Linked DNA regions of Macaca mulatta. The protein of the gene in region 5 binds, or shares a complex with, the protein of the main gene of each other region. Links are inferred from orthologs where the notes say so. Each region holds a gene or a part of one and is shown on either strand. Other genes may lie near its edges.

Evidence for each region.
Region 1: IQCD (region 5) and DRC1 share a complex: the UniProt entries of both Homo sapiens proteins name them as parts of the nexin-dynein regulatory complex. The link is inferred for Macaca mulatta from reciprocal best matches to the Homo sapiens genes DRC10 and DRC1.
Region 2: IQCD (region 5) and IQCG share a complex: the UniProt entries of both Homo sapiens proteins name them as parts of the nexin-dynein regulatory complex. The link is inferred for Macaca mulatta from reciprocal best matches to the Homo sapiens genes DRC10 and DRC9.
Region 3: IQCD (region 5) and GAS8 share a complex: the UniProt entries of both Homo sapiens proteins name them as parts of the nexin-dynein regulatory complex. The link is inferred for Macaca mulatta from reciprocal best matches to the Homo sapiens genes DRC10 and DRC4.
Region 4: IQCD (region 5) and DRC3 share a complex: the UniProt entries of both Homo sapiens proteins name them as parts of the nexin-dynein regulatory complex. The link is inferred for Macaca mulatta from reciprocal best matches to the Homo sapiens genes DRC10 and DRC3.
Region 6: IQCD (region 5) and DRC12 share a complex: the UniProt entries of both Homo sapiens proteins name them as parts of the nexin-dynein regulatory complex. The link is inferred for Macaca mulatta from reciprocal best matches to the Homo sapiens genes DRC10 and DRC12.
Region 7: IQCD (region 5) and FBXL13 share a complex: the UniProt entries of both Homo sapiens proteins name them as parts of the nexin-dynein regulatory complex. The link is inferred for Macaca mulatta from reciprocal best matches to the Homo sapiens genes DRC10 and FBXL13.

What each region holds. Positions count from the first base shown.
Region 1 is NC_133418.1:98,552,782-98,556,860, forward strand, and holds the end of DRC1 (dynein regulatory complex protein 1), read right to left. Parts: intron 4,035-4,079; coding exon 3,805-4,034; intron 3,575-3,804; coding exon of another isoform or gene 3,523-3,574; exon of another isoform or gene 3,377-3,522; intron 2,557-3,376; coding exon 2,413-2,556; intron 2,073-2,412; coding exon 1,970-2,072; intron 753-1,969; coding exon 696-752; 3' UTR 501-695; downstream 1-500. UniProt on the Homo sapiens protein: Component of the nexin-dynein regulatory complex (N-DRC) a key regulator of ciliary/flagellar motility which maintains the alignment and integrity of the distal axoneme and regulates microtubule sliding in motile axonemes.
Region 2 is NC_133407.1:1,021,875-1,025,374, reverse strand, and holds part of IQCG (dynein regulatory complex protein 9), read right to left. Parts: intron 2,465-3,500; coding exon 2,303-2,464; intron 1,134-2,302; coding exon 1,059-1,133; intron 1-1,058. UniProt on the Homo sapiens protein: Component of the nexin-dynein regulatory complex (N-DRC), a key regulator of ciliary/flagellar motility which maintains the alignment and integrity of the distal axoneme and regulates microtubule sliding in motile axonemes.
Region 3 is NC_133425.1:85,499,618-85,503,117, reverse strand, and holds part of GAS8 (dynein regulatory complex subunit 4), read right to left. Parts: intron 3,223-3,500; coding exon 3,055-3,222; intron 2,711-3,054; coding exon 2,624-2,710; intron 1-2,623. UniProt on the Homo sapiens protein: Component of the nexin-dynein regulatory complex (N-DRC), a key regulator of ciliary/flagellar motility which maintains the alignment and integrity of the distal axoneme and regulates microtubule sliding in motile axonemes.
Region 4 is NC_133421.1:19,565,256-19,568,755, reverse strand, and holds part of DRC3 (dynein regulatory complex subunit 3), read right to left. Parts: intron 3,136-3,500; coding exon 2,961-3,135; intron 1-2,960. UniProt on the Homo sapiens protein: Component of the nexin-dynein regulatory complex (N-DRC) a key regulator of ciliary/flagellar motility which maintains the alignment and integrity of the distal axoneme and regulates microtubule sliding in motile axonemes.
Region 5 is NC_133416.1:120,462,522-120,466,754, forward strand, and holds the start of IQCD (dynein regulatory complex protein 10), read right to left. Parts: upstream 2,801-4,233; 5' UTR 2,689-2,800; intron 1-2,688. UniProt on the Homo sapiens protein: Component of the nexin-dynein regulatory complex (N-DRC), a key regulator of ciliary/flagellar motility which maintains the alignment and integrity of the distal axoneme and regulates microtubule sliding in motile axonemes.
Region 6 is NC_133419.1:119,883,260-119,887,309, forward strand, and holds the start of DRC12 (dynein regulatory complex protein 12), read right to left. Parts: upstream 2,801-4,050; 5' UTR 2,756-2,800; coding exon 2,543-2,755; intron 2,245-2,542; coding exon 2,172-2,244; intron 1,746-2,171; coding exon 1,671-1,745; intron 603-1,670; coding exon 483-602; intron 1-482. UniProt on the Homo sapiens protein: Component of the nexin-dynein regulatory complex (N-DRC), a key regulator of ciliary/flagellar motility which maintains the alignment and integrity of the distal axoneme and regulates microtubule sliding in motile axonemes.
Region 7 is NC_133408.1:142,775,410-142,779,550, forward strand, and holds the start of FBXL13 (F-box and leucine-rich repeat protein 13), read right to left. Parts: upstream 2,801-4,141; 5' UTR 2,738-2,800; coding exon 2,663-2,737; intron 1-2,662. Other genes in the region: ARMC10 (armadillo repeat-containing protein 10), read left to right, coding at 3,235-3,373. UniProt on the Homo sapiens protein: Substrate-recognition component of the SCF (SKP1-CUL1-F-box protein)-type E3 ubiquitin ligase complex.

The DNA.
Region 1 (4,079 bases), on a different chromosome or scaffold from region 5:
AGGCTGGTGGATTCCGCACCAGCAGGGCTCCCGTGGCCTTTCCCCTTCAAGTGGCCTCTGATGGCCCAGGGTTCAAAGCAGATCTCGGGCACAGGGCTGCCCACCCAGGCTGCCCACAGGAGGAGTCTTACACTATACCCCAAAGGTTACACCAGCCTGGGCCCAGGGGCCCCCAAAGCACCAAAAGAATCCTTCAGGTCTGGGGCCAGTCTGAAGACTGAAGACTCCACAAGGGCCCAAAAGCTCCAGCCGCCACCCATGGAAACCAGCTTCCCCTGAAAGCAAGAAAGGAGCCCCACGCCACTGGCCTCAGCCTCTGACTCACTCCACAATCTCAGCCTGGGGCAAAGTCCCCTCATGACACAGAGGTAGGGGCAAGGGCCTGGTCTTGCTAGACCTGCCCTCTTTAAAGAGATTCAGTCACAACTTTTAAAAGGCTTAATCATAGTGCAGGACACAGGTAACTCCTCTGGCTCCTTATTTCAATAGGATTCAGCCACAACTTTTAAAAGGCTTTAATCATAATGCAGGACACAGGTAACTCCTCTGGCTCCTTATTTCGACAGGCTATAAAGACAGCCCTGGAAAATCCAGAGAGCCGGCCCAGGTGCGTCCCAGTGGGTGATATGAGCTGGCTCCCGCATAGACACCAGCATCAGGCCAGCCCTAACACATCAGCCTTTGGAGTTCCAGCTCTATTTTGTGGGTACCCGCAACACCTGAGTGGGAGGAACTTGCAGTTCCGAGTTGATCTGGAAAAGGAAGGGTGAAGGTCATTAAATTTTCCCCAGGGCCCTCCTTCCTTTGCCACCCCTGCGAGCCACGCTGGCTCTCCCATGGGCCTCCGAAGCCCTGCATGCATCTCCTCTCCAAAGCTGAGAGACGCTGAGCACCCACAGGCTGCCTTCCTGCAGGAGACACGCCTGAGCCTTCTTGCTCAGCTTCTGCTCCAGCTGTGACCTCTGCTAGCGTTCTTCATCTCCCACCCATCCATTCTCTGCAATCTTCCCCTTTCCTCTCTCCATGCACCCATGCCATCCCCAGTCTAGCCTGCGCCACCTCTTCCTCCCCAAGCCTCTTGTACACAGTAGCATCTGTGGAAGCAGGAACCATACTGTCCAGAATGTCTGGGTCCTGTCACAGGCCAAGGGTCATTATGAGGCCAAGGCTCACTACAACATCCCCCTTTCAGCTGTTGCCTGGGACCTGGGACTGTGCTGGGGCCACACAGCCCCTGTGGCTGGACTTGGAGCTGGCTTCAGTCACCTCACACGTGTGCAACTAACAGCTGTGTCATGACCTTCCTGGCCTACAGCCCCAGCCGCAGGCACCTCCACCACAGAGCAGGAAATGTTAGCAATGGAATTTTTCCTTCCTCCTCTTGCCAGGCCATGGGGAAGTTGCCCACAACTATTGTGGGGGTGGGCACAGATGGGGACCAGGGAATATCTGCCCCAGCAGAGCCTCCTCCCTCATGTGAGGACGACCCTCCAGTCACATCCCAGGCAGGGAACCCGGGCTGGCGGGTGGAAAGAGCCCAGGCTCTGGATGAGTTGCAAACTCTCCAAGTTGTGATTGTCCTTTCTGTGAAATGAGGAGCATCGTTTCCGCCCTGTCCACCTCACACAGCGGGTGTGAGGATGGAAGAAAGCACAGCTGGAGGCTCTGTAGCTGGGGAGCTGCTCCTGGCTGTGGCACTGCTTCACACAGAGTGGTCCCAGCAGGCCACTGGCACCAGAAACCACGGTATCAGACACTGTCACACCTGAGCTGTCCTGGAGGAGACTTCAGGCAAGATCTACTCCTTTAGCCAGTAATTGTCTCAAGGTGTCACTGTTGATTTTTTACATCACGTCGCAAAGCTCCCTTGCCTCTGGGCGGGAGGGGACTCCTCATTCCCTAATCCCAGCTCCAGTCCCCCCGCCCCACCCATCTCCTGCCACCCCTCGTTGGAAGGCCCGCTGCCCACCTTGGAGTTCAGATACTGCTGCAGCAGCGCCTGCAGCTCTGTGTTCCGCTGCTCCAGAGAACTGTTTTCCAGCAGCAGCTTGGCCCTCTGGGTCAAGACAATGCTTTGGACAAAAAAATCAGTTAGAGGCTCACTGAATCCTCCATCCTCTGCCAAGTAGGGGCCAGGGTCTTGGTGTTTCTGCTTTGGCTGCAGGTGGAGGGAGACTCCAGAAGCTACACGCTTCACCCAGCCGCCAGGTGAGCCAGGTTAGCAGGAACAGAACAGGCAGGCCAGGGCCCAAGAGCCAACCGCCCCACATGATCCACCGACACAGGAATTGCCAAGGGCAGCTCTTCCCTCCCAGGTTCGGTGGGACAGGGGGGCAGCAAACACGGCTGCTCCCAGCAACCGTTCCTCACCTGCCCACCAGCACCCTCCTGCTCCATGACATGCACACTTACTGGTACTTCTCCAAGGCTGTGTAGAGGGCATCCCAGAGGTTCTGCTTGGAGGAAGGGATTACCGTGGTCAGGGCCTGCCAGTACTCTGAGTCCTTGGAGTTGTTGCGCATATTCTTCTGCACTCTTGGCGGGGCCCGCGAGTCCCTGAAGGCCAACAACACTGTGACTGTCATGTCCATTGGGTACTACCCAGGCCCCCAAGCAGTGCCAGTCACAGGCCTACTGCTTTCCCACCTGTCACCTTCCCACTCAGCAGTCCAAGTTTATTAGATGGTGGCAGGTTCTCAGAAAGGACACAGTTTATTAGATGGTGGCAGGTTCTCAGAAAGGACACAGTTTATTAGATGGTGGCAGGTTCTCAGAAAGGACACAGTTTATTAGATGGTGGCAGGTTCTCAGAAAGGACACAGTTTATTAGATGGTGGCAGGTTCTCAGAAAGGACACATGCTTATCGTCAGCGTTCCTGCCTCGGTACCACCGGTACCTTCGTGAGGGCATGATCAGTGCTTCATCCACCCCTCTCTCTCCCAGTCAGTTTACCTCACTGCTTTACAGCTCATCGCTGTGCCTGTCTCTTGCACCAGCGCATCCAAAACAGTACTGGAATTCAGTCATGGCCTCTCCATCCCGCCATGACAGCCTTTATCTGGAGGATCCCCACCTCCCACCTGGACAAGCCTCCTGATGCTCTCCCTGTATCTGGCTTCGCCCCTTCCCTGCCGCCACAATGATCTCTCTAAAATACAAGGCTAATCATGGCTCTTCAGCTGCTTCAAATCCTTTTCTGGCTCCCACCACCAATGGGTAAAGACAAAGATCTTGGGCACATTGGGCAAGGCTCTCCAACACCTGGCTGGCTCCCCACCCACCAGTGCCACCTCCCAGGCCCTTGACCCACCAGCCACACCTCCTGTGATGATTCTTGAACAGACCTGACCTTCCCCATGCTGCCATTTCCTGAAATGCCCTTACCTCCATTTTATCTGCCTGGGAACACCCAGTTCCGGTGCCATTTCCTCCCAAAACCCTCTCTGACGTGCCAAATGGAAATGGCCATTTCCTCCTCTGAACAACGGTGCACCTTGAATGTGCTTTGACCATTGCTCTGATCACAAGGCAGTGTCCCCACAGTGCTTACACATGGCAGCCTTCAATGCATGTCTGCTGAATGAATGATGAGTGAAAAAAAGCACAAATCACTACTACGCCCTATTGCTTTCCTGACTCTGTCCAGTGATTGGTTGCCCTAGCCTGCCTTCAGAGAGCCCTGTCCTTAGTCCTCGTATCTTGCCCAGCGCACTCTTCTCCACTCACTGACTCTGCCTGGCTCCCCAGCCCACCCAGCTCCCCTGGCTCTGGTCTCAGGCAAGCCTTCCAGCCCCGCAGCCCACCTAGGCTTTTTCAGACCCATGACAAAGGCCTCCAGAATCTTGAGGACATCATTGGGGTGGATGTCCCAGGGGGAGGGTGGGGTCTCCTCCTCTTCCTCCTTCTCCCCTTCCACCAGGCTTTCTTCCTTTGCTCCCTCCATCTCCGTCTGCTCTGCCAGCTCCAATTCTGACCCCATGCTTGTCTCCTCCATGCTCGCCTTCTCCATGCTCGCCTGACTGCAGGACTTGATCTGGAGAAAGATGCAAGGACAACTGTGGGCTGGGGACACACGAGC
Region 2 (3,500 bases), on a different chromosome or scaffold from region 5:
ACTGGGAATGTTATTTTTATAACGTAAAAAATTAGTAAATCTTTTTTTTTTTTTTTTTTTAGAGACAGAGTCTCGCTCTGTCACCCAGGCGGGAGTGAGTGGTGTGATCTCGGCTCACTGCAAGCTCTGCCTCCCAGGTTCAAACGATTCTTCTGCCTCAGCCTCCCGAATAGCTGGGATTACAGGGCTGCATCACCACGCCCGGCTAATTTTTGTATTTTTAGTAGAGATGGGGTTTCATCATGTTGACCTGGCTGGTCTAGAACTCCTGACCTCAGGTGATCCGCCGGCCTCGGCCTCTCAAAGTGCTGAGATTACAGGCGTGAGCCACTGCACCTGGCCTTTATTTTTCTTTTTTATTTATTGGCCACTATACTAATGGGAAAACATTTTAATATAGTCATAATTAAAAATAATTAATTTTAAAATTATGTCTTTTTTTTTTTGAGGCGGGGTCTTGCTCTGTTGCCCAGCTGGAGTACAGTGGCACAATCTCAGCTCACTGCAGCCTCTGCCTCCCAGGTTCAAGCAATTCTCCCACCTCAGCTTCCTGAGTAGCTGGGATTACAGGTGCCTGTCACCACGCCTGGCTAATTGTTGTATTTTTAATAGAGAGGGGGTTTCACCATGTTGGCCAGGCGGGTCCCGAACTCCTGACCTCAGGTGATCCACCCGCTTCAGACTCCCAAAGTGCTGAGATTACAGGCGTGAGCCACTGTGCCCGGCCCATAAATTTTTAAGTCATAATTTGACTTACTAAATTTTGTCATAAATTAAGTCATAATTTAAAAATTATGAGTATACAGCAATATAGGAATCAAAAAATTTCTTATCTAAGCTCAATGATAAAAGCGGAAAACAAAATTTTACTTGTACTCTCTCAGATTGTAACTATATAAGATATCTATTCAGATGCACAACCCTGAAATAACATGTGAGCTCAAGCTCATTAGGCTGAAAGAATGATGGCTGGTTTTTCTTCAAAATATTTTTTTTGTTTCCTCAGTATGAGCAGAGTACAAAAAGACTCAAAGCACAGAAAAGTTTTGGTGACCCACCTGCTGCTGCTTTCTAAGGAACATTTCAATGTCCATATGAATCCGGGCCTCTTCTTCGGTTTTCATCCTGAGTTTCTGTAAGAACAATAATCAGACATCAGCACGTCTTCCCTGCAGGGCTGTGAATCAGAAGTTCTCAAGATTAGAGGAGCAGCTTGGTCGGCAGCTCAGGTTTCCTTTACCAGCTGGGATGCCGGGAATTCAGTTTCGTGCAATTCCTGTTCACAAACACCGCAGAGACACATGACGCGGCACTGTCTGGACTGTGTTAGTGTCCCTAACGAAAGGTGCGCAATCCCGTGAATTGAAAAGAGGTGCCCATTGAAGGAGAGAAACGGTGCGCCAAGGGCACAAGGCTGTGGGGCCTAAAAAAGGGAAATTCCAGAGTGCCAGGAAGACTGTTGTCGTGGCCTTAAGCCACGTTAGTCTCAGAGCAAGGAGTCCTCCCACACACAAATTCCATGGTCTAAGGACGTTTGTTCCTTCTTCCGTCTTCCCATCTGCCTGCTGCTCTTTGCGTGTGTGTGTGTGTGTGTGTGTGTGTGTGTGTGAGACAGAGAGAGAGAGAGAGAGAGAAGGGAGTCTCCCTATGTTGCCCAGGCTGGCTTCAAACTCAAGGATCCTCCTGCCTCCCTTCCAATTAGCTGGGACTAGTGCCTGGCTTTGTGTATGTGTGTGCAGTGTGTGTGTGTGTGTGTGTGTGTGTGTGTGTGTGTGTGTGTGCGCGCGCGTGCGCGCGCCATTTCGCATTCCCCTCAAAGAAGATCTACCACTTTCTTCCTCCTGATATTTTTCACCATGACTTCTCATCTCCATAAATTCAGGTTTGAATGAAGTTCACCTCTCAAGATGCTGTATTTCTTACTGGAGGAGTGAAAAGTACTGGCTAGATAAAACAAACAGCAGCAAAATCCTGCCATAACTAAGGATCTTGTTTTGCCCTCTCCCTATAATTAGAGAAATGGCGATTGGTTTGATAAAATAAGAAGTGACCGAGGAGAGAAAGTACAGCCAATTTTCAAAGTCATTATGAGGCAGGAGAAGGAGGCTACAGCCCGTTGGAATCTCCGCTTGCGAACATGTGTATCCTCATTTAGGCTTCCATTTTCAACCTCAAGTGGAGGGGCTGTTGCCGAGAGAGATGGAGGAAATCTTCATCTCCCTCCTTTGTTAGCTGAGACAGGATCAGGAGTGACAGCTCAAATGCCATCTCCTGGGTTCTTCACTAATGTCCCAGGGATTACCTCAATCTCTTCCAGCAAGACTTCCTCTGTTCTGTTACACTTTCTCTGGGTCTGGGCAATCTGCAGCTCAGTATTGGTTTTCATGTAGCGATTCTCCAAGTTGGATTTTGCTTTCATCTCTTGCAGTTGGTCCTTGAGGTTAGCAATATATTCATTCTGACTCTGCAATGGAAAGACCAGGTTTCTAAATTGAAAATACATTCTACCGCCATTCAGTTCAGCCAGTGGCTTAAGGTTCCCTTTTATAAGTGTAAATCAATAAGGAACGGGAACTAGTTTTCCGCTGTCACACAACGGGAAATTTAGCCAACAATCATGCAGAGAGGAAAGTGAGTAATACAGCAGTTCGAAGAATCAGGGCGAATCAGGGCGGAGATTAGTTCCCAGGCACATTACTGGTATGTCCATATTTCCCACACAGATTTCTCATTTTGGTAGGAAGAACACTGGTCAAAATGATGAAAAGAACTGACTTCCCACCCAGGCCTCCAGCTGTGTGAACTTGGCCTAGTCAAATCTCCAACTTTTTTACTTTCTATAAAACACACACACACACACACACACACAACACCCACCCTGACTGAAGTATCTCAGAGATTATTAGGTTTCATTGAGAACACGTGTGAAAACGCTTTCTTTTTGCAGGTCACCAAGTGCTTGGCAATTGCGAGGACTCAATAGTCATTAAGAAAAATATTTATTCAGCACCAGGCTGAATATTTATTCAGCACCAGGCTCTTCCTAGAGCTAGGCTCTAGGAAAATCATGGAGATCTAAACAGACATATTCCCTGCCCTCATAGAGCTTACAGTCTAATAGAAGAGAGGTGGTTAAAAAGAGACAAACACATGTGTAAACTTTCAAAAATTGTGCAAAATGATAGAAAAGGAAAGCTTGACAGGCTGTGGGAGGAAATAACAAGGGAGGAGTCCATTCGACTCTGGAAGGCCTGAGAGGGACTCTCTCGGGAAAGTGATGGTTCATTCGATGTACATTAGACTCTGGAAGGTCTGAGAGGGACTCTTGGGAAAGCGATAGTTCATTCGAGGTACATTAGACTCTGGAAGGCCTGAGAGGAACTCTCTCCAGAAAGTGATGGTTCATTCGATGTACATTAGAGTCTGGAAGGTCTGAGAGGAACTCTCGGGAAAACCATGGTTCATTCGAGGTACATTAGACTCTGGAAGGCCTGAGAGGA
Region 3 (3,500 bases), on a different chromosome or scaffold from region 5:
AGGCCGAGGCGGGCGGATCACAAGGTCAGGAGATCGAGACCACGGTGAAACCCCGTCTCTACTAAAAATACAAAAAATTAGCCGGGCGCGGTTGTGGGCGCCTGTAGTCCCAGCTACTCGGGAGACTGAGGCAGGAGAATGGCGTGAACCCGGGAGGCGGAGCTTGCAGTGAGCCGAGATCGCGCCACTGCACTCCAGCCTGGGCGACAGAGTGAGACTCCGTCTCAAAAAAAAAAAAAAGTGAACACCCTGAGCAGGGCGCAGTGGCTCACGCCTGCAATCCCAGCACTTCGGGAGGGTGAGGTGGGTGGATCACCTGAGGTCAGGAGTTCAAGACCAACCTGGCCAACATAGTAAAACCCCATCTCTATCAAAAATACCAAACATTAGCTGGGCATGGTGGCAAGCGCCTGTAATCCCAGCTACTCGGGAGGCTGAGGCAGGAGAATCGCTTGAGTCCAGGAGGTGGAGGGTGCAGTGAGCCAAGATCACGCCATTGTACTCCAGCCTGAGCAACAAGAGCGAAACTCCATCTCAAAAAAAAAAAAAGTTAACACCCTTAACCCCAGTTCCCAGAGGCCACCCACCATTGTGAACACTTGGTGTGACCCCTTCCAGAATGTTCTCTATACATGTAAAAACATTTATGACTGTTTGGAAGAAAACAGGATCATGCTAAAATACTGCAGCTTTTTTCAAAGCACGACCTGTGATACCTGGAGCACCTCCAAGACAGCACCTGGCCCTGTACCCCTTCTAACTGCTGTTAATTAGAATTCCCCAGATTTGCTTAAATCCAATTCCCTGTCCGCAGGCACGTGGATTATAAGTGCCTTTGGGCCGGGCGCGGTGGCTCATGCCTGTAATCCCAGCACTTTGGGAGGCTGAGGCGGGCGGATCGCAAGGTCAAGATATCGAGACCATCCTGGCTAACATGGTGAAACCCCGTCTCTACTAAAAATACAAAAAATTAGCCGGGCATGGTGGTGGGCACCTGTAGTCCCAGCTACCCAGGAGGCTGAGGCAGGAGAATCACTTGAACCCAGAAGGCGGAGGTTGCAGTGAGCCGAGATCGCGCCACGGCACTCCAGCCTGGCGATGGAGTAAGACTCCATCTCAAAAAATAAAAATAAATAAGTAAGTGCCTTTGGTCTCTAAATTTTGCTGACAAATTTGAGCTCCCAGTTCTCTAGGAAGAGACATGGACTTTGACACTGTCAGGAACCACATTCAAATGGAAGAAAATACGGCAGGGAACAAGACTCCAGCCCAGGTACGTCTCTGCTCTCCTCTTCCCAGTAATGTCCACCTCAAAACTCACAGGGAGGAGGAAGGGCCCCTAACACAGCAGTCCTCAGAGTCTCACTGGGGCACCCTTCCCTTAGGTGCCAAGAGTCGGCACAGCCTAGCAATGCACATCAGGTAGGACCTGAGGTGTCTCCGACAGATGGGATGTTTCCGAGGGGCGAATCCTACTACAACCGTTTGTGTTCATGAATTTCAGTTAGGCTAGAGAACACAAACAGCACACGTAACTGCAGCTCAAGATAAGATGATCTGGCCACGCACACCACACACAAAGCCTTGAGGGCCCCATGGTGCAAGGATTGGTCCTTGGCCAGAACTTTGAAAATCAACAGAGGCAAGGAGTCTCTTTGAGGGACAAAGACAGGACCAAGCATCCCTACCACTCACTGGCAATCTCGGAAGGGCACACGAAATGAAATGTTTTCCCCCCAGACTCTTCTGCAAAGGTTTAAACCTGTCAGATCTGGTGCAGCTGAGGATGGAGACGGCCCCTCCGCACCCTGGCAGGTGTGTGACTCAGAGCAGCCCTCTGGACAGATCAGAACCCTCAACACAGACCCCTCAGACCCAACAATCCCACTGCTAGGAACTGGCTTTCCTAAGAAGCAATCTCACACAAGTGCACAAAGACAAATTTAAAAGGATCGAGGCAGCAATGCTTATAACAGCAGAGGATTAGAAACAGAGGGGAGTCAGCTAAATGATCAAACATTCATGAAATGCAGCACCACGTGACTGTGAGAAGGATGAAACGGCTTCCTGTGTGCAGCCTGATACACTGTGAGATTAAAAAGCAACTTGTGCTTATGGCCTGATCCCGTGTTCATAACACACACAGTCACATCCACACTAGAGCATGCAGGAAACCTGGAAGGGAGCTCATAAAACGCGCCAGCGTGAGGAGCTGGAGGCTCATTTTCACTTACACTTAAGACCCCATGACTTCTTTACAATGAGAAGGTAATAGGTTAGCACTTAGAAACATAAACCCATGGAAGAAAGGAGTTGCTGCAGGGGCCAGGCATCCCTCATGTGCTTTGAGAGGTGAGCGCTTGAGGGGCCGAAAGTCATGTGTGATCTGCTCCCCATGAGACCTCAGGCCTTCTGCAGGATATGCATGCGGAATAGGCCAAAGGTTTTTGCCTCTTAGAAGCTGTGGAATGAGTTACAGGGAATAGGGCCCCCAGCTTCAGAACCCAAAAACCTGGCCAAGGTATCTGAAGCTGGTCCAGGGGCCAGGGCCACAAGGAGAGCCCCGTCCCTGGCTAGCAGGGGTGCCACCCCCCACTGCAGGGCCAGCCTGGTGCCCACTCACCTTGGTGAACCGCTGCTCTAACACTTCATGCTCCCACTGCAGGTCTTTCAGCTCTTTCTCTGTGACTTTCAAACGGGCTTTTGTGCACTGGAGGAAAAACGGAGTAGGGGACAGAAAGTATTCAAGATTCACAGTCATCCAAGTAACACAGGCTCCTGGGAGATGGCAAGGCCAAAAATAATCACCAGAAAGACATGGTTCCAGGACACAAGCAGCTGAGCCCCATCAAGGCAGGTCAGTAGTACACGGTGGAAGATGAGGGCCTTGTCTCCAAAACACCCCCAGACTTTACTTTCCCCAGGAGAACACAAGGCAGAAAAAGGAGAAATGCAGGCCTCCCCCGTCTCCCTTCCTGCCCCTGTGATGCTCCTTCCTCCTGAGTCTAGGCTAACTCGTGCCAAGGAGGGAGAGGAATCCAGCAGGAAACTCACAAGCAGGATCTGCTTGTCCCTCTGGTAGTTGGCGAGCTGCTTCTGCATCTCGCTCATCTCCTCCCGAGCCTTCTGGAGAGGGTCTGCCAGGCGCTTGTTCTGCACAGACACCTCTGCCATCTCCCTCTCCAGGTGGTCCTCCTTCTTCCGCATGTCCTCCATCTGCTCCTGCAGGCACAAGCACAGGCCCAGCAGGGGCTCAGCAGGCAGAACCAAAGGGGCTGTGGCCTGCAGGGTGAGAGCTGGGTGCTCTCCTGCCCATCACCAGATCCTGCCAGCCTCAGGCATGCTAGCACCTAGACCTGTTCTATGTATAAACAGTATTTCTGCAGCTTCAACGTATTCGGAGTTTTCTGGGAATGCAGCTTCCATGCACACTGAGGGACTACACTTTATTCAAGATTCCACCAAGGGCCGCTGTCTACTGTAGAAAGTCCTGTCACTGC
Region 4 (3,500 bases), on a different chromosome or scaffold from region 5:
AAAGGGAGAGAGAAACCAAAAACCAAATAGAAAAGTGGGCAAGGGCAAAATATAAGTACAAATAATTCACAGAATAAGAAACACAAATGGTTGTAAAACATGTATTGCTCATCCCCACTTAAGAGAAAATAAATGCATACTCAGGGTGCACAGACTGGCAAAATGAGGAAGCCCGTGACACTGGCCTGACGATGGCTGTGGAGGGTAAAGGTTCTGTGGGTTACAGGTGGACAATAACCATGAAAAAAAACAATGCACAGTTTCCACTTTTAGGACTTCATCCTGCAGGTCAAACTTGCACCAACTTATTCAGTGGAACACTAAAGAGCAAAAGGTTGGGGAAAAACCTAACTGTCCATCAACAGGGACTGGCTAAATAATTACGGCTCACCCACGCAATGTGATATTTTAGTTATAAAAAAATGAAGTAACTTTTTCATTTTGGAAGGCTCTCCAAGATACCTAACATAGGAAAGCAAATTACAGAACAGGGCAAGCTATGCACACACACACACACACATACACAAGAAAGCAAAGTATAGAATAGGGCATGCTATGCTCACACACACACACAGGAAAGCAAAGTACAGAACAGGGCATGCTATGCTCACACACACACACAGGAAAGCAAAGTACAGAACAGGGCATGCTATGCTCACACACACACACACACACACACACACAGGAGTAGGAGGGAGACCGTATCCCCCGGTGGCCATTGTTCTGTCTGTGCCATGTGCACACACCACCCATTCGAGAGTGCAGCTGACTACACACAGACGTGCTGTCATCCTTTTAGGCTGACTGCTCCAGGCCTTGCACAAGTGCTTTCCCTCTCTGTCTCTGTTTCTCACTACAGTTCTTCCAGGTGGTTATCTCTGTTCTGCACATGAGGAAATGGAGGCTAGGAGAGGGTCCATAATGGATCTCTGGGTCACCAGTGAGGAGTCTGCCTGAGCCCCAAGCCTTACATGGCTGCACCATGACCCTGAAACGTGGCTCACTGGGCACCTGGAGCAGCGCATGTGCAGTGGATGAGGCCTAATGGGGGTGAGTGGGAGGAGTGTAGGAAAAACTATAGGAGAGGGCCTGTCAGGGAGGGAACTGGGGGTCTGCAGGGCCTATGGGGTCTTGGGAACTTCTAAGTCAGTGGCCTCTATCTAGGCTGTGCATGGAAAGCACCCGTGGAACAATGGAAAATCCCTGTGCCAGGCCACGCCCCAGTCTAAGTGGGTGCTGCTGGGCCTGGATGCGAGCACATTTCCAGGGCCCGGGGACTCCACATGAAGGCTGGGCAGGATCCACTGCTCTTGGCTCTAGAAGGGGAGCACTAGGGTAGTCAGCTCGTCCGAGGTGGCCTTTGAGGAGCTGGCCCGCACTGAAGGCAGGTGCCTGAACGGAGGAGCAAGTGGCACGTTCCATGCTCCAAGTCAGGCTTGGCATGGCCCACATCCTACTTCTGCAGAGGGACTCGCTGCTGAGGGGCTGGGTCCCTGCACCGGGCCTCAGGAAGCACCGGATAGCTGACACTCCCAACCCCAGTGGCTACAGGGACCAGATAAATGTCAGGAAGAAAGGCTGGACAGGGACTGGGGGGACTGGAGACATGACCTGTCCAGAGGGGACAACTGCCACTCAAGCCCTGATGACAGCTGCTTCCAGAGAAGCTGGCAACCACAAATTTTTCTGCGAAATCTGCTAGTTTCTAATGTCAGCAGGATGTTCAAAATGTTTTAAAACCCTACACAGGCCAAATAAAACACATATGTGAGCCAAATGTATTCCTCCGCCGACAGTTTTGAACTTCTGGTTGAACACAGTAACCCCTGCTCCCTAAAATATAATAAGGAGGGTCTTGAGAATTAAATCACACAGCATGTGAGGCCCTGGAGGTTAATGAGACAGGAATGGGGGTGGCCGTGGGGGAGGCGGGAAGCACCTGGGAGTGGATCATCGACTCCATCAGATCTGAACTTGCGCATCGAGGGACTTTGCTCTACTTTAAGTTCACAAGAAGGAAGGGCCTTATGGGATTCCTAAAGCCCCTTATGCTACAAGCAAGCTTGGTGTGTGTGAACAGTTTTTGGAGGAAAAAGAAGGTCCACAGCTTTCCTTAGCGTCTCAGAAAGATCTGTGATTTACAACAGGCTAAGCATCCTGTCTTTAAAAGTAATGCCAACTCAAAAAGGCAGCTGCCATCAAATACAAAGACTGGTGCCCTTCCCAATGGCCTCTGCTTGGGCTGGACCCCATGGCCTGGTTAGGCCGAGTCCTGACCACCCAGAGCCTTCTCCTTTGCTGCTCCTAGGGGGTGGAGGAACACCCTTCCTCTCCATCAACTTTTCTTTCTTCTGTGAGCCTCAGCCTTCCCTAAACTCCCCCGCCTGAGATAAGGTGCCCCTAGGGCACCCCGAAGGCTCCCCAGGCTTCCCTCCAGGATGGCACTGATTCCTCTGCTTGCTCAGGTCAGGGCTGGGGCCTGGGCCTGGGTCTGAGCCCCACAAGAGCAGGAACCATGTCCAGTGTGGCTCTAGCTTCCTAGGAGCAGGCAGAGAGTAGAGCTCAGAAAACGTCTATTAAATGAATGAATGAATGAACAAAAGGACGGTAATCATTACCGTCAAAATAGTAATGGTAATACTAATACTGTTATTAATAGTAACGATGATGATAAGTTCGGGGATGGAGCTGACCTTGAATCCCAAGGGCGCTTTGTGTGACAAAGATCCACAGGCCACACATCAAGTGGTGGGGAGCTGTAGTTGGTGGGGCTGGGGTAAGGCAGGCCTTGGCTCTGCCACTGATTAGCTGTGTGATCTCTGGCAAATGGGGACAATAACCATTGGCCTCAGGGGTCATCAGAGGGTATAGGAGTTGCAGCCCCTCTACAGTGGGGGTGGCAAGAGCAGGGAGGGCCTCCAGCAGGAGGCAGGGAGGGCCTCAGGAGGCTCGGGGCCTACCGACAAGTGCTTCTCCTCGAACTGGGCAATCTTGCGTTTGCCCTGCTCCTGGTTTTCCTGGATAGCCTCGTGGACACATTCACTGAAGGTGTCAAGCTCTATTTTCCGCTTCTCCTGCTGTTTCAGGCCATACTCAAAAATGTTCACGCAGATGATGACAAACTTGTCCTTGTAGGTGAGTGGCCGTTAAGGAAGTCCACAGCTGTTTCAGGAGCAGGCTGCAGAGGGCATGGCAAAGGTGTTGGTAACCCTGGCACTGTGCGCTCAACAGTGTGTGGGACTCAAACTCCTGGTCTCATGTGTTTCATTTGGTGGATGAAGAAATCAAAGGCCCAGAGAGCCAGGACTGAGATGTGGGTACAATGTGTGTTTGGTGCGTCCCCACCCTCAGCCTGAGGGATTCAGGAATGGGGCCTGTGCGAAGGAAGGAGGCAGGGACCATTGGGGAATCTATAGAGCAGAAGGCAGACATGCTCAGAGAGGTCCCAGAAGAGAGGCCTAGGGAACCTGGGGGTCTGTGAGCTGGTCTCAGCTGGGGAA
Region 5 (4,233 bases):
GGAGAATTGCTTGGACCCGAGAGGCGTAGGTTGCAGTGAGCTGAGATTGCACCACTGCATTCCAGCCTGGGCAACAGAGAGGGGCTCTGTCTCAAAAACAAAACAAACAAAAAACAGCCTATCTCAAACCCCTCCTGCTCTCAGGCACTAACGTATAATGTTACTTTATGTCAGAAACCAACTCCCCCATGAACAATTTCTCCCTGGATTAACAATTTCTCATTCTTTAGGTCTTAGCTCAATGGCTACCCCTTCTCAGACAGGAACACACAGCACTTTACAACCTGTGGAAATTCTCTCACCTTTCCTGCATGGTACTAACCACGCGTGTAATTTTTTTTTTTACAGCTCTATTGAGGTGTAATTTACATTACCATAAAATTCACCCATTGTAAGTATAAAACTCAATTACTATTTTTGTAAATGTATCTAAAGTTGCCACATCAGTTTTAGATACAATCCTGTTTTAGAACATTTCTATCACTCCACCAAATTCCCATGAGCTAATCTGCAAACGATCTCTGTTTCCACTCACATTTTTTTGTTGTAGTTGTTTTGTTTTTGAGACTGAGTCTCGCTCTGTTGCCCAGGCTGGAGTACAGTGGCGTGATCTCAGCTCACTGCAACCTCCACCTTCCAGATTCAAGCAATTCTCGTGCCACTGCACTCCAACCTGGGCAACAACACAAAACTCCATCTCAAAAAAAAAAGAAAAGAAAAATCGTAAAGCTCAGATCAAAATAATGAAATACTCATTTGCTTTTTTTTTTTTTTTTTGAGACAGAGTCTCACTCTATTGCCCAGGCTGGAATGCAGTGGCATGATCTCGGCTCACTGCAACCTCCGCCTCCTAGGTTCAAGTGATTCTCCTGCCTCAGCCTCCCAAGTAGCTGGGAATACAGGGGCCCGCCAGCATGCCCTGCTAATTTTTGTATTTTTAGTAGAGACGGGGTTTTGCTATGTTGGCCAGGCTGGTCTCGAACTCCTGACCTCAGGTGATCCACCTGCCTGTGCCTCCCACAGTGCTGGGATTACAGGCATGAGCCACTGTGCCTGGCCTATGTTTAACTTTTTAAGAAACTGCCAACTATATTTCAGATTGGTGGTACCAATTGGTATTCTGCTGTACCTACCAGCAATATATGAAAGCTAGTTTGTTTATTTATCTACATGATGATATTTGGGATTGTCTTTTTGATTTTTAAATGTCTACTCAACTCTTTTGCCCATTAAAAAAATGGAGTTGTCCTCTTGAGTTATAAGAGTTATTTTTATTTTCTACATACAAGTCTATTATAAGACACATGAGATTTGCAAATATTTCCTCCATGTCTGTGTCTGTGGCTGATCTTTTCATTTTCTTACGAAAATATCTTTTGAACCTCAAAGTTTTTCTTTTTTATATATTTTTTTGAGACAGGGTTTTTCACTCTGTGGCCCAGGCTGGAGTGCAGCAGTGCAATCATGGCTCACTGCAACCTCCGCCTCTTGAGTTCAAGCGATTCTTCCACCTCAGCCTTATTTATTTATTTATTTATTTATTGAGATGGAGCCTCGCTCTATCACCCCCGCGGGAGTGCAGTGGCACCATCTCGGCTCACTGCAACCTCCACCACCCGGGTTCAAGAAATTCTCCTGCCTCAGCCTCCCGAGTAGATGGGATCACAGGCATGCACCACCATGCCCAGCTAATTTTTGTATTTTTAGTAGAGACAGGGTTTCACCATGTTGGCCAGGCTGGTCTCAAACTCCTGGCCTCAGGTGATCCGCCGCTCGGCCTCCCAAATTGTTGGGATTGCAGATTGAGCCACTGTGCCCAGCCCTCAGCCTCATTTAATCATCACAAGAAACTCTCTATCTTTAGTAGGTACAAAGAGATTACATTTTAAGGACGGAGATGGGAAATAAATTCCAAAGTTAGGACAAAGGCCAAAGTGGTATAATAAAAATTACCTAATTTATTTATTTATTTGGGACAGAGTCCTGCTCTGTTGCCGAGGATGGAGTGCAATGGCGCGATCTTGGCTTACTGCAACCTCGGTCTCCCGGGTTCAAGTGATTCTCGTGCCTTAGCCTCCCGAGTAGCTGGGATTACAGGTGCACCACCATGCCCAGCTAATTTTTGTATTTTCAGTAGAGATGAGGTTTCACTATATTGGCCAGGCTGGTCTAGAACTCCTGATCTTTAGTGATCTGCCCGCCTTGGCCTCCCAAAGTACTGGGATTACAGGCGTGAGTCACCGCGCTAGGCAAAAACAACAACAACAAAAACAAACAAAAACTACCTAATTTAAACACTTAAGTGAGATGGCCCGCTCACCGAGGAACGTATGGTCGTTGGGTGGAATGGGAGGGGACTTATAAACCCCCCTCCCACCCACAGCTCCCATGTTTGACTTGAAATAAGTTAACTACGATGTGACTCTGCTTGACTGGTGTCCTCGTCGTTTTAGGGATGAGGGAGTGGGGCCATGAAGTGGGCAGGTAGAAGGGGAAGAATGGAGGCCGGCTCCCTGCAGGCTGTGGAGCCAGAGGTCCAGACTGAGGCAGGGGCTGAGGGACGGGGTCCTGAAGCTGAGACGGGATCGCAGCGGGGGCTACCAATTTCTCAGGGAGCCAAAGGACATCGGGCTGAACCCCATTCCACATCTCCCCCGATCCGCGACCCTTTCCCACCTGGTTACTCACCCGCTCTGACGGCTCCAGGTTTCCCTAGCCACAGTTACCGCCGCAGTCCCAGCGTTGCGAGGTTACCCGCCAATCTCAGAAGGCGGGACTCTGTGTCTGACTGACCTTTCTTTTCACCATTCAATTTCTTGTTCCGCTCAATTGTCCCCACCTCCTGAAGTCTGACCAATCAGAAGCACCGCCATTTTGACCTTGCACCAATGGAAAGACTTGGGACTCCCTCTGGGTTGGACTCAACGATTAAGGCGGGGAAGATGGGAGGAGAAAGGGGCGTGGATTCTTCGTCCCGCCCCTTCTTAAGGAGGCGGGCAGGGAGTACTGCCTCGGCTGCGGGCGAGACCTGCGGAAAGACGTGAGAATTGACCAATCAGAGCTCATCATGGTAGCCCAGTTAGCCAGTAGGACGCTGTGAAGGGGAAATGGGGCGGGGCGAGCGGGGTTGAGAGGACGGTAGGCGGCGGATGGGAGAGCTGGCGCAGCTACCCTGGTGGCGGTGGCTGAAGTGGCGGCGGCTGCGGCGGCTGCAACAGCTTCGGGCTCGGGGTTTTGGCGGCGGCGCCGGCGGGCTGGGCTGCGTGGTGCGGACCCCGGCGCGCGGTCCGGGTTGCTGGGGCGGCGCGTGTAAGAATCCGAGGGATGCGAGGACTTGGCCAGAGGGAGAGGGCAGGGATCAGGGTCAGAGGGCGCGGAGTAAGGGGTTGCGGCGCGACACTCTGGTGTGGGAGGTGGACTGAATGGGCCCAGAGAGGGCGCGGGGAAGTCTCCGCCGCGCTTCTCTCCGTCCAGCCCGGGCCGGGGCTTTGCACCCTCTCTCCTTGCCCCCGACTTCTTGGGGCGACCCTCACGTGGGCACCCAGCCAGGGGCTGGGAGCACGCGGAGCTGGAGCCAGCGCTCCTGCCTCCTTCTTGCTCCCTCCCTCGCTCTTCTCCCTGGCGCCCTCAGGTGACCCCGCAGGAGTCTCGTGCCCGGGTCAGGCTGCCCGAGCGGACAGCGGCATGGCAGCTGGCCCTCTTCCCCTAGGCCCTTTCCCCAGGGCTGGCCATTTGGGTCCTCTGTAGAGGCAGAAGCAAAGCCCGCGGAGGGAACACTGGACCAGGACTCAGGAGTCCCGGGTTCTAGCCCCGCTCCTGCACTGTGTGACCTTGGGCAAGTCTCTTCCCCTCTCTGGACCTCATTTTTGTCTCGCTGGACAAATGACGTGTTTGAATTCAAATCAGGGTACTGGTTCTAGTCGTAGGTGTATATAGGGTCATGGTTAAGCAGGAAGGTTCCCTGATTCAAACTACCTGGGTTGAAACTTATAAGAGGCAAGTTAACCACTCCAAGATTCAATTTCCTCATTCGTAAAGTGGGGATATTAGCTAAGATAGGATTTTTCAACAGCAGCTCAATTGACATTTTGAGCCACATAATCCCCCGACTCCACCCACCAGCAATCCCCTCACTCCCAAGTTGTGACAAAGATGTCTCGAGACATTCCTGATGTCCCCGTGGGGGCAAAAATCACCCCAGTTGAAAGCCAATGGGCAAAGACAATACAGGCA
Region 6 (4,050 bases), on a different chromosome or scaffold from region 5:
TGACCTCGTGATCCGCCCGCCTCGGCCTCCCAAAGTGCTGGGATTACAGGTGTGAGCCACCACTCCCGGCCCATGGTCTTCTTGGTTCTTTTTGTGATTCTGAGAAGCTAGAGACCATGAAAACCTGAGGAAGGGAAAGGAAGCCCAACCCACCTCCCCCACCGTCCAGCTTTGGATGGGGATGCTAGTCCTTCTCCCCTCCCATAGGATGGTTGAGGTGATGGCTATGACTGCATGCGTATCCTACACAGCATCAAGCACATGGCACCAGGCATCCTGGCAGGCCCCTGCCTGGGATCCCAGGAACCTACCTGCCTTTGATTCCTGCAGGATCCTGCCTGATTTGTACTGTTCGGGGAAGACCAAGACCAGGCCTGGCAGTTGGAAGCCCTCCTTGTTTCCCTTCCTTGCATCATCTGACCCTGCTGGTTGTCTTCCTCCAGGCCCCTGTCTCCTGCCCACCTGCTCAACAGACCACACACCTGCATATATGGCCTTCCCTTCACTTCGGGCCCCTTCCAGCTCAGCCTCCACCCTTTGCAGCCTCTGCTTCAGCTGGTCTTCGGAAGCCTTGGCTCGACGGGCTTCATCCCTCCGTAGAGCTGTGAGCAGTCCCAGAGCCACTGTCAGGACTGGCTGGGGCCCGCTAAATCAGCCCCCATGAACTTGATGAATTTTGCCCGTCTCTAGAAATCTGGTGGCGGGGCGTCCAGCCTCTTATTCTCTCTCTGGGTTTTGTTGTTTTTGTTTTTTATCCCTAGAGTCTCACAGGCTCCTCATTATTAAGAAGTAAAGACTCTCTCCATGTTCTGCCTATACAAAATAGCTTTCCGGATAGCCCGGCATGGTGGCTCATGCCTGTAATCCCAATATTTTGGGAGGCTTAGGTGGGAGAATTGCTTGAGGCCAGGAGTTTGAGACCTGCCTGGGCAACAGAGTGAGACCTTGTCTCTATAAGAAAAATAAATAGGGCCAGGCGCAGTGGCTCATGCCTGTAATCCCAGCACTTTGGGAGGCCAAGGTGGGAGGATCATGAGGTCAAGAGTTCGAGACCAGCTTGGCCAACATGGTGAAAACCTGTCTCTAATAAGAATACAAAAATTAGCCGGGCGTGGTGGCTGTGTGCCTGTAATCCCAGCTACTTGGGAGGCCGAGGCAGGGGAATCACTTGAGCCTGGGAGGCAGAGGTTGCAGTGAGCCAAGATCACGCCACTGCACTCCAGCCTGGGCAACAGAGCACAGGACTCTGTCTTAAAAAAAAAAGATAGTAAAATAAAATAAAATGAAATAATAAAATAAAATAAATTTTAAAAAAGAAAAATAAATAAATAAATAAAGTAGCTAGGTAGGGTGGTGTGCACCAGCTACTCGTGAAGCTGAGGTGGGAAGATTGTTGGGGTCCAGGAGTTTGAGATTACAGTGAGCTATGATCACACCACTGCAGTCCAGCCTGGGCAATAGAGCAAGATTCTGTCTAAAAAAAAAAAAAAAGCTTCCTTTATCAACTCTCACTGCCCACCCCTCTCTCATTGTCTTTTTCCACTAGGGGATGGTTAGGGTTCAACTTAGCCCCCCACTGTATCTCCAACTCTCCAATCCCCCAGGATACAGAAATGCCCCATTTCACTTGCCCTGTTGCCCACCCCCATGCCAACTTCTACCCTCCTTACCCAAGTGATCTCGGAGCAGCTCCTTCTCCAGCACCACCAGCCTGTGCCTGGACTCAGCCTCCACATCTGCACCTGCTGTGGCAAGTGGCAGAGCCTCAGCTCTTCGTGATCTCAGCATTCCTCACTCTCCTTGCGTCCTCACCCCACACCCTGCACTTTTGCCACAGGAGACCTGAGGACCACTAAATGAGGGATCCATGGTGGCAGAGTCTACTGAAGTCAGCACTGTGTCCTTACCAACCAGCACATAACAGATATGCAAAATACACATGACAAATATATTAGGAAGGCACAAAGCTAGATGGTGCTTAAAGGAGAGCGTGAGTGACCATTTCCCCACTTCCTCAGCTCCCTGCATCTGACTTCAAGGACACGAAAGAGGAAGGTCAAGAGAGTTCCATCCTGTCATGTAGAAGGCTGAATTCTCTCTGGAGGAGCTCTGCGTGGTCTTCATGCCAGAACATGGAGAAGCAGGGGGCACCTCCACCCACCATGACTCACCCCAGTTCTTTTTCTTCTGCGCCCCAGATTTCTTCCCTTTTTCTTTGTTTTTAAGTGGCATCTCCTTGCTGTCCTGGGAGAAGGAGGGGACCTTATGTTTAGGTCTGGACACAGGGATGCTTTCCTGACTGAATCAGGAGTCTCAGGGGAGTCTCCTGGTTCTACTCCAAATTTGTATCTCATACTCTTCAGAAAAGTCAGTTCACAGTCTCTTTGGAACCTCAGGCAGGGTTGGGGTCAACGGGGAGGGTGAAGTTTTTTCTCTCAACCAGGCTGACTGTACGGAAGTCACTCCTCACAACTCTCTTTTAGATAAATCCCTGTACCTGCTCCCCTCCCTCTTCCCATCATCCTCAACCCCCTCTTCCTACCTGTAGGATCCTCTCCTGCCAGTGTTGGGGCTCCCTGTGGAGTGACCCACCCGTGGGGAGTGGCAGAGAGAAGGCCCAACTAGCGAGGAGCCTGAGGCGGGGCCTGGGTCCTGGGAGCCAATCCTTGGTGACAAATTTCTCTTGAGGGCAGGACTGAGGGCTGGAAGGTTGGGTTTCGGGAGGCTGTATGTTGTCCAGGCAACTGGGAAACATGGAGTTCGTAGGAAGGTGGAATGGGCTAAATCAGCTCACAAAGCTTAAAATATCAAGGTCTCAAAGGGTCAGTTCTTTCCTTATCCCAAAACCCTAAGTATAGTTTGAAAAGAAAGGGCTTTGGAGGCCGATTGGTTATGATTCATTGCCACGTAGACATGGCCTGCAATTTGGAGACTTCCAAATTCAGATGTACACATCTGAGATAATATGTTGTGCTGATACAGAGGAAAAGGACTGACAGTAGCCATGTTGGACAATTGACATCCCGAGGTCCCATCAGCAAAATGACATTAGTAGGTTTAAAACTGAAGATCTAAGCTGGGGGCGGTGGCTCATGCCTATAATCCCAACATTTTCAGAAGCTGAGGCAGGAGGATTACTTGAGGCCAGGAGTTCAAGACCAGCCTGGACAACACAGTGAGACCTCATTTCTACAAAAAATTAAAAAATTAGCCTGGCAGGGTGGTGCACACCTGTTAGTCTCAGCTACTCGGGAGGCTGAAGCAGGAGAACCACTTGAGCCTGGGAGGTTGAGGCAGCAGTGAGCTATGATTGCACCACTGCACTCCAGCCTGGATGACAGAGGGAGACCCTGTCTCAAACAAACAAACAAACAAACAAACAAAAACCCCAAACCACTGAAGATCCTCTTCAGTACACTGTGGAATGAGGGTAATAAGTACAGGAATAGGTAGTCGAGGGCGTTTCCCACTTCAGAGAAATGAGACACAAAGGAACAGCAGACCCATGGACTCTAGGGTACTGACCTAGAGGGATGCAAGTGTGCAGGAAAGTGCTCAGGTTAGAGACAAGACATTTGAGTTTGAGTCCCAACTGTGGATATGTAAACTGAGGCAAGCCATTTGACTTTGCTCAGCATCAGTTTCCTGATCTTTAAATGTTTGATTTTGTAGCTCTTGAAAAGCCTGTGTTTTAGCTAGGTGTTTACATGGCTATCTTCTCTCCTAGTTACTTAATCTATTGCTACATTTCCCCATTCCCTTGTGTGGTTGATTTTCAGACAGGTGTTGAGACATTGCTTTGTGAGGCTCCCTGCAGCATAGAGTTGGTTGGGGCTCCCTCTAGTGGACTTGTTTGACCTTCTCCTGAGTTTCCCACATTTTTGCTTTTAAATTATTTACTGGGCAATATTGGGGGTGACTCCCTTTGGGGATACTTCTTAGTGTCCTGCTGGAGCCAGGAGTGGCTGGAATAATTAATGTGGGGGAGAGAGTATGACGGGTGGCCCTCCCTTGTCAGGCAGCCTTCACTCTCCCTGCAGCTCTGTGCTA
Region 7 (4,141 bases), on a different chromosome or scaffold from region 5:
TATCTCGACCAAAAACACAAAAATTAGCTGAGCATGATGACAGGTGCCTGTAGTCCCAGCTACTTGGAAGGCTGAAGCAGGAGAATCGCTTGAACCCAGGAGGTGGATGTTGCAGTGAGCCGAGATGGCGCCACTGCACTCTAGCCTGGACGACAGAGCAAGACTCCATCTCAAAAAAGAAAAAAAAAAAAAAGTATAAAACCCATCTGGGAAATTGAGTCAGATGAATAAATGTACAGACAGAATAGATATGAGGCAGAATGGAATTCATCTTGATAGTCTCTTAGGAGAAATAGGTAATGAGTTTAAGGTGGGTGTGTGGGGCCCAGAAGACTGCTCCCTTGTTCTTGCTGCTAGTGTGGTAGCAGAGGTGAGTGAAGGACTTCTCAGGAGAATATGATCTTAGACAATGGGGAATGCATATAAGGGCCTCCTCTCTGGGTGCAGAACAATGTGGCAAGCCAGGAGCGCTCTCACCCAGAGGGGGAACTGGGGACTGCCTCATTGCAGCTTTGTGATGTTATAGTAACTGGCAGGCTAGATGAGAAGAGGCCACCATTTCCTTGATGTACCCTCAACTCAAGTCTGTTTCTTCCACCTGCTGCACCGCCATATCACAGACTGAATCACCACTCAGAATGGCCGCACCCTGAATTGTAAATATAAACATTCCACTTTCTGACCCCCACCTCCTATGTTTCCAGCTCCCTCATTTAATTACTCCCTCTACTTCTCTTCACTCACCTCTTAGGAGTCTCCATTTTCTGTACATATATCAGTATCATATCCTTTTCTCATTTCCCACTGAGTCCTTAGAGTCCTTGGCCCATCACTTCAGATACTCAGGAGCTTAGCTCCCTAACCTACTGCCTTTCTATTCTATTAACATATGCCTGGCAAATTCCTATCCCAGACGAAGTCAACTTGGTTATCTCTGTACCTACATCTGGTTTACTGACTGCTACTTGACAAAAATCACACAACCGGGAAGATGGGTACCATTCTCCCTACATATTTTCAAGCACAATTGTATAGAGGTACAACATGAAACTCACTATAATAAATTAAAACAATACAGCTATGGGTAGAGCAAAAAGTTAGAATTCCCCGTTTCCTCCCCCAAAACCATTCCACAAGACATCTGTTATTAACAATTTGGCATAGGTTCTATGCATGCACTATTGTCTTAAAGATAGATACACACACATATATGTACACATAAACACATATACAACATACATGAAATCAGATAGCTAGAGCAGAATGGACAGTTGCTAAGCAACTTGCACTTTTTCTTTTTTACTTAATAATATGTGTTGGGAGCCAGCCATATGGTGTATGCCTGTAGTCCTAGCTACTTGGGAGGCTGAGGTGGGAGGATGGCTTGAGCCCAGGAGTTTGAGGCTGCAGCGAGCTAGGATGGAGCCACTACACTCTAGCCTGGGTGGCAGACCAACACCCCGTGTCTCGATAATAATAATATGTCTTGGAGGGCATTTCTTCTTAGTAGGTACAGATATACTTTATTCTACATAATACCTCATTCGCTTAGTCACTCTAGGTCATTTACTACTTCTACTATGAAACAAAGTTATAATGAACATCCTTGTACATCCTTCTGAACACATGTGCAAGTATTTCTCTAAAGTAGATCCCTAGAAGTGGAAATGCTTGGTTAAAGGGTACATGTATTTAACATTTTAATAAATATTTCTCAATTGCCATCCAAAAAGGAGACGGGGGTCTCTACCAAATTGCCCTCCCAACCGCCTAGGATCGTTACTACCCTCAGCTGGGACCTCCTTTTTCCTTCCCTAGACATCTCTCTTCCTCATTCCCCGCATAGCGTATCTTTGCTCGAACCTCCTACTGCACCAACAGCCCCATCCCCACTCAAACACGCACATTCTTGGAAAATATCTCATCAACTATTTGTAGAGAAAAAAAGAGGTCAACAAAGGCAAACGTTCTCAGCTTCCAACCCCCAAAAACCTACAAAACCTAGTATCTATCCCTTCCTGTCTTCCTTCCCTCCTATTACAATGGGGGTGGAAGGGTAGCCCTTCCTGTTGTCTAAAGGCAATCCCGGTTGAGAGGGTCCTTACCTTCACAAAGGGCTGACTACACTGACCAAAGGTATCAGCTTCCACTCTCCCCTCAGCTAACCTCCATCTATTTTCTGCACTCACGGCTCCATGGAAACCTCAGGCTCACCTTGGGCAGAATCCAGGTCCTTATCTTAGGTGACTAGAGCCTACTCCCTACTTCTGACAACACTCTTCATAATGACAGTCTGCTGATTTTCCTCCTCAGCCTCTCTGGCATTTCTTTCTCACTCCTCCACTCCTCAGGCACTTCTTGTTCAAACCTTAAAAGCTGAGTTTGGGGTTTCCGATCTGGGCCTTGTGCTCATTTCCCCTGGGAGATGTGACCCATTCCCCACTTGCAGCTACCATCACCCTCTGTCTTCTCTCTGATCAGCATCTTCAGCCCAGATCGCCTACAAGTCCGAGTTTGACTTCACTTTCTCGCATTCCGCCCCGCCTTCTCCCTCCTCCCTCAACTCCTAAACCTAGTCCCTCCTCCGAGACGTCTTCCCTGACTCCTCCCCCTTCTAATTCCCCACCGTCGGTCCGTGTCCGCCGCCACGCGTGTCCAGTACCTCGCAGACCTGAGGAATATAGTTCTCCTTGAAGTAGTTCTTCAGCCTCGGGTTGGCATTGCGTAGGGAGGCCATGGCCCAAGGCCTGACGGAGAAGCTGCGCTGGTACCCTCCCCGCGCTGGGACTAGGAGCCGGGTGCGTGCGGGCGTTGTCCTGGCAACCAGGGGGCGGGGCTGGACGCGGCACCGCCCCTCGCTCCGCTGCCCGGGGCAGGAGGGAGGGAGGCTTGCTTCATGCCACAGGAGAAGCGACGGGAAGCTCGGCTCCGGGTTCAGGGCCCCGGCGTCTCCGCGTGGGGCGCACCGTCCTAGCCTCCCCTCCTGGCGTCCAGCGCCCCGCCCCGCCTCGCCTGGGAGAAGCCGCCGGGAGGCGCCGCGCTGGAGTGGGCGGTTATAGGCTTTGAGCTGAGCCGTTTCCGGGAGGCGGAGCTCAGACCCCATTTCCTTTCTCCACATCCAGGTCGCGCGCGGTTTGTTGTGGCGGCTAGGCCCGCGTGATCTGGAGACCTCCGCGCTGGCCCCCAGGAGCCTCCTGCCCTGGCCCAGCGCGGCGGCTCTGCCGCGGCTGCAGAATGGGTGGCCCCCGGGGCGCGGGCTGGGTGGCGGCGGGCCTGCTCCTCGGCGCCGGCGCCTGCTACTGCATTTACAGACTGACCCGGGGTCGGCGGCGGGGCGACCGCGAGCTCGGGATGCGCCCTTCCAAGTCTGCAGGTGAGACCGCGGGGTGCCCGGCAGGTGGGCGGGGACTGGGCAGGGGGGCTTCCCGGGCTTGGGTGGTGGCTTGCGTGTCCTCGGGGTAAGATGAGGAGCCGAGCTAGAGGGAGAGGCAGTACTTGTGTGGGTGCATGGTGCTGCGCCGCCCCCGCCGCCCATTCTTTGTTCACTATCCTGATATGAAAACTTGTCCTGGCTTTCCTGCCTGAGCTTTGCGCCACAGTGGAGGATTAGGTTTCTTAAAAGCCTGTTGATGGCCTCTCACTTTAAAGCTTGTTCCGGGCCTTTGTGTAATTAAAGGGATTCTGCCGATTGTGGAAGGGCTGTTGAGGGGCCCGGAGCCATAAGTGAAGCTCTGCTTGCAAGTGTCCTGGAAGAAGGGACGTCAAAGGGGCAGTTGTGCGGGCGCTCGGCCCGGCCTCAGAGGGGAGGTACCTGGGAGTCACAGTGGTCCAAGACCTCCCAGCCTGGTGTGTGTTTTGGAAATGGGAACAGTTGTCTGCGCGAGACACACCCTCCCAGCGGACAAATGCCAGATTCGGTTTCTGTCCAAAAGTTGATCGGTACGGTAAAACCCTCCAGAGGCATGTTTCACATCATGGAAGCCGTTAGGGAAATAATTTAAAATAACATATCTGCCATCCAAGAAACTCCTGTCCACAATTGTAGAAGAGAACTAAACAGCGTCATTGTTGAGTAAGCACAAACTAGATTGTCTCAAGCATCACGGGCAATTTGCTAATGGGATAGCAAGAAGAATTCTAA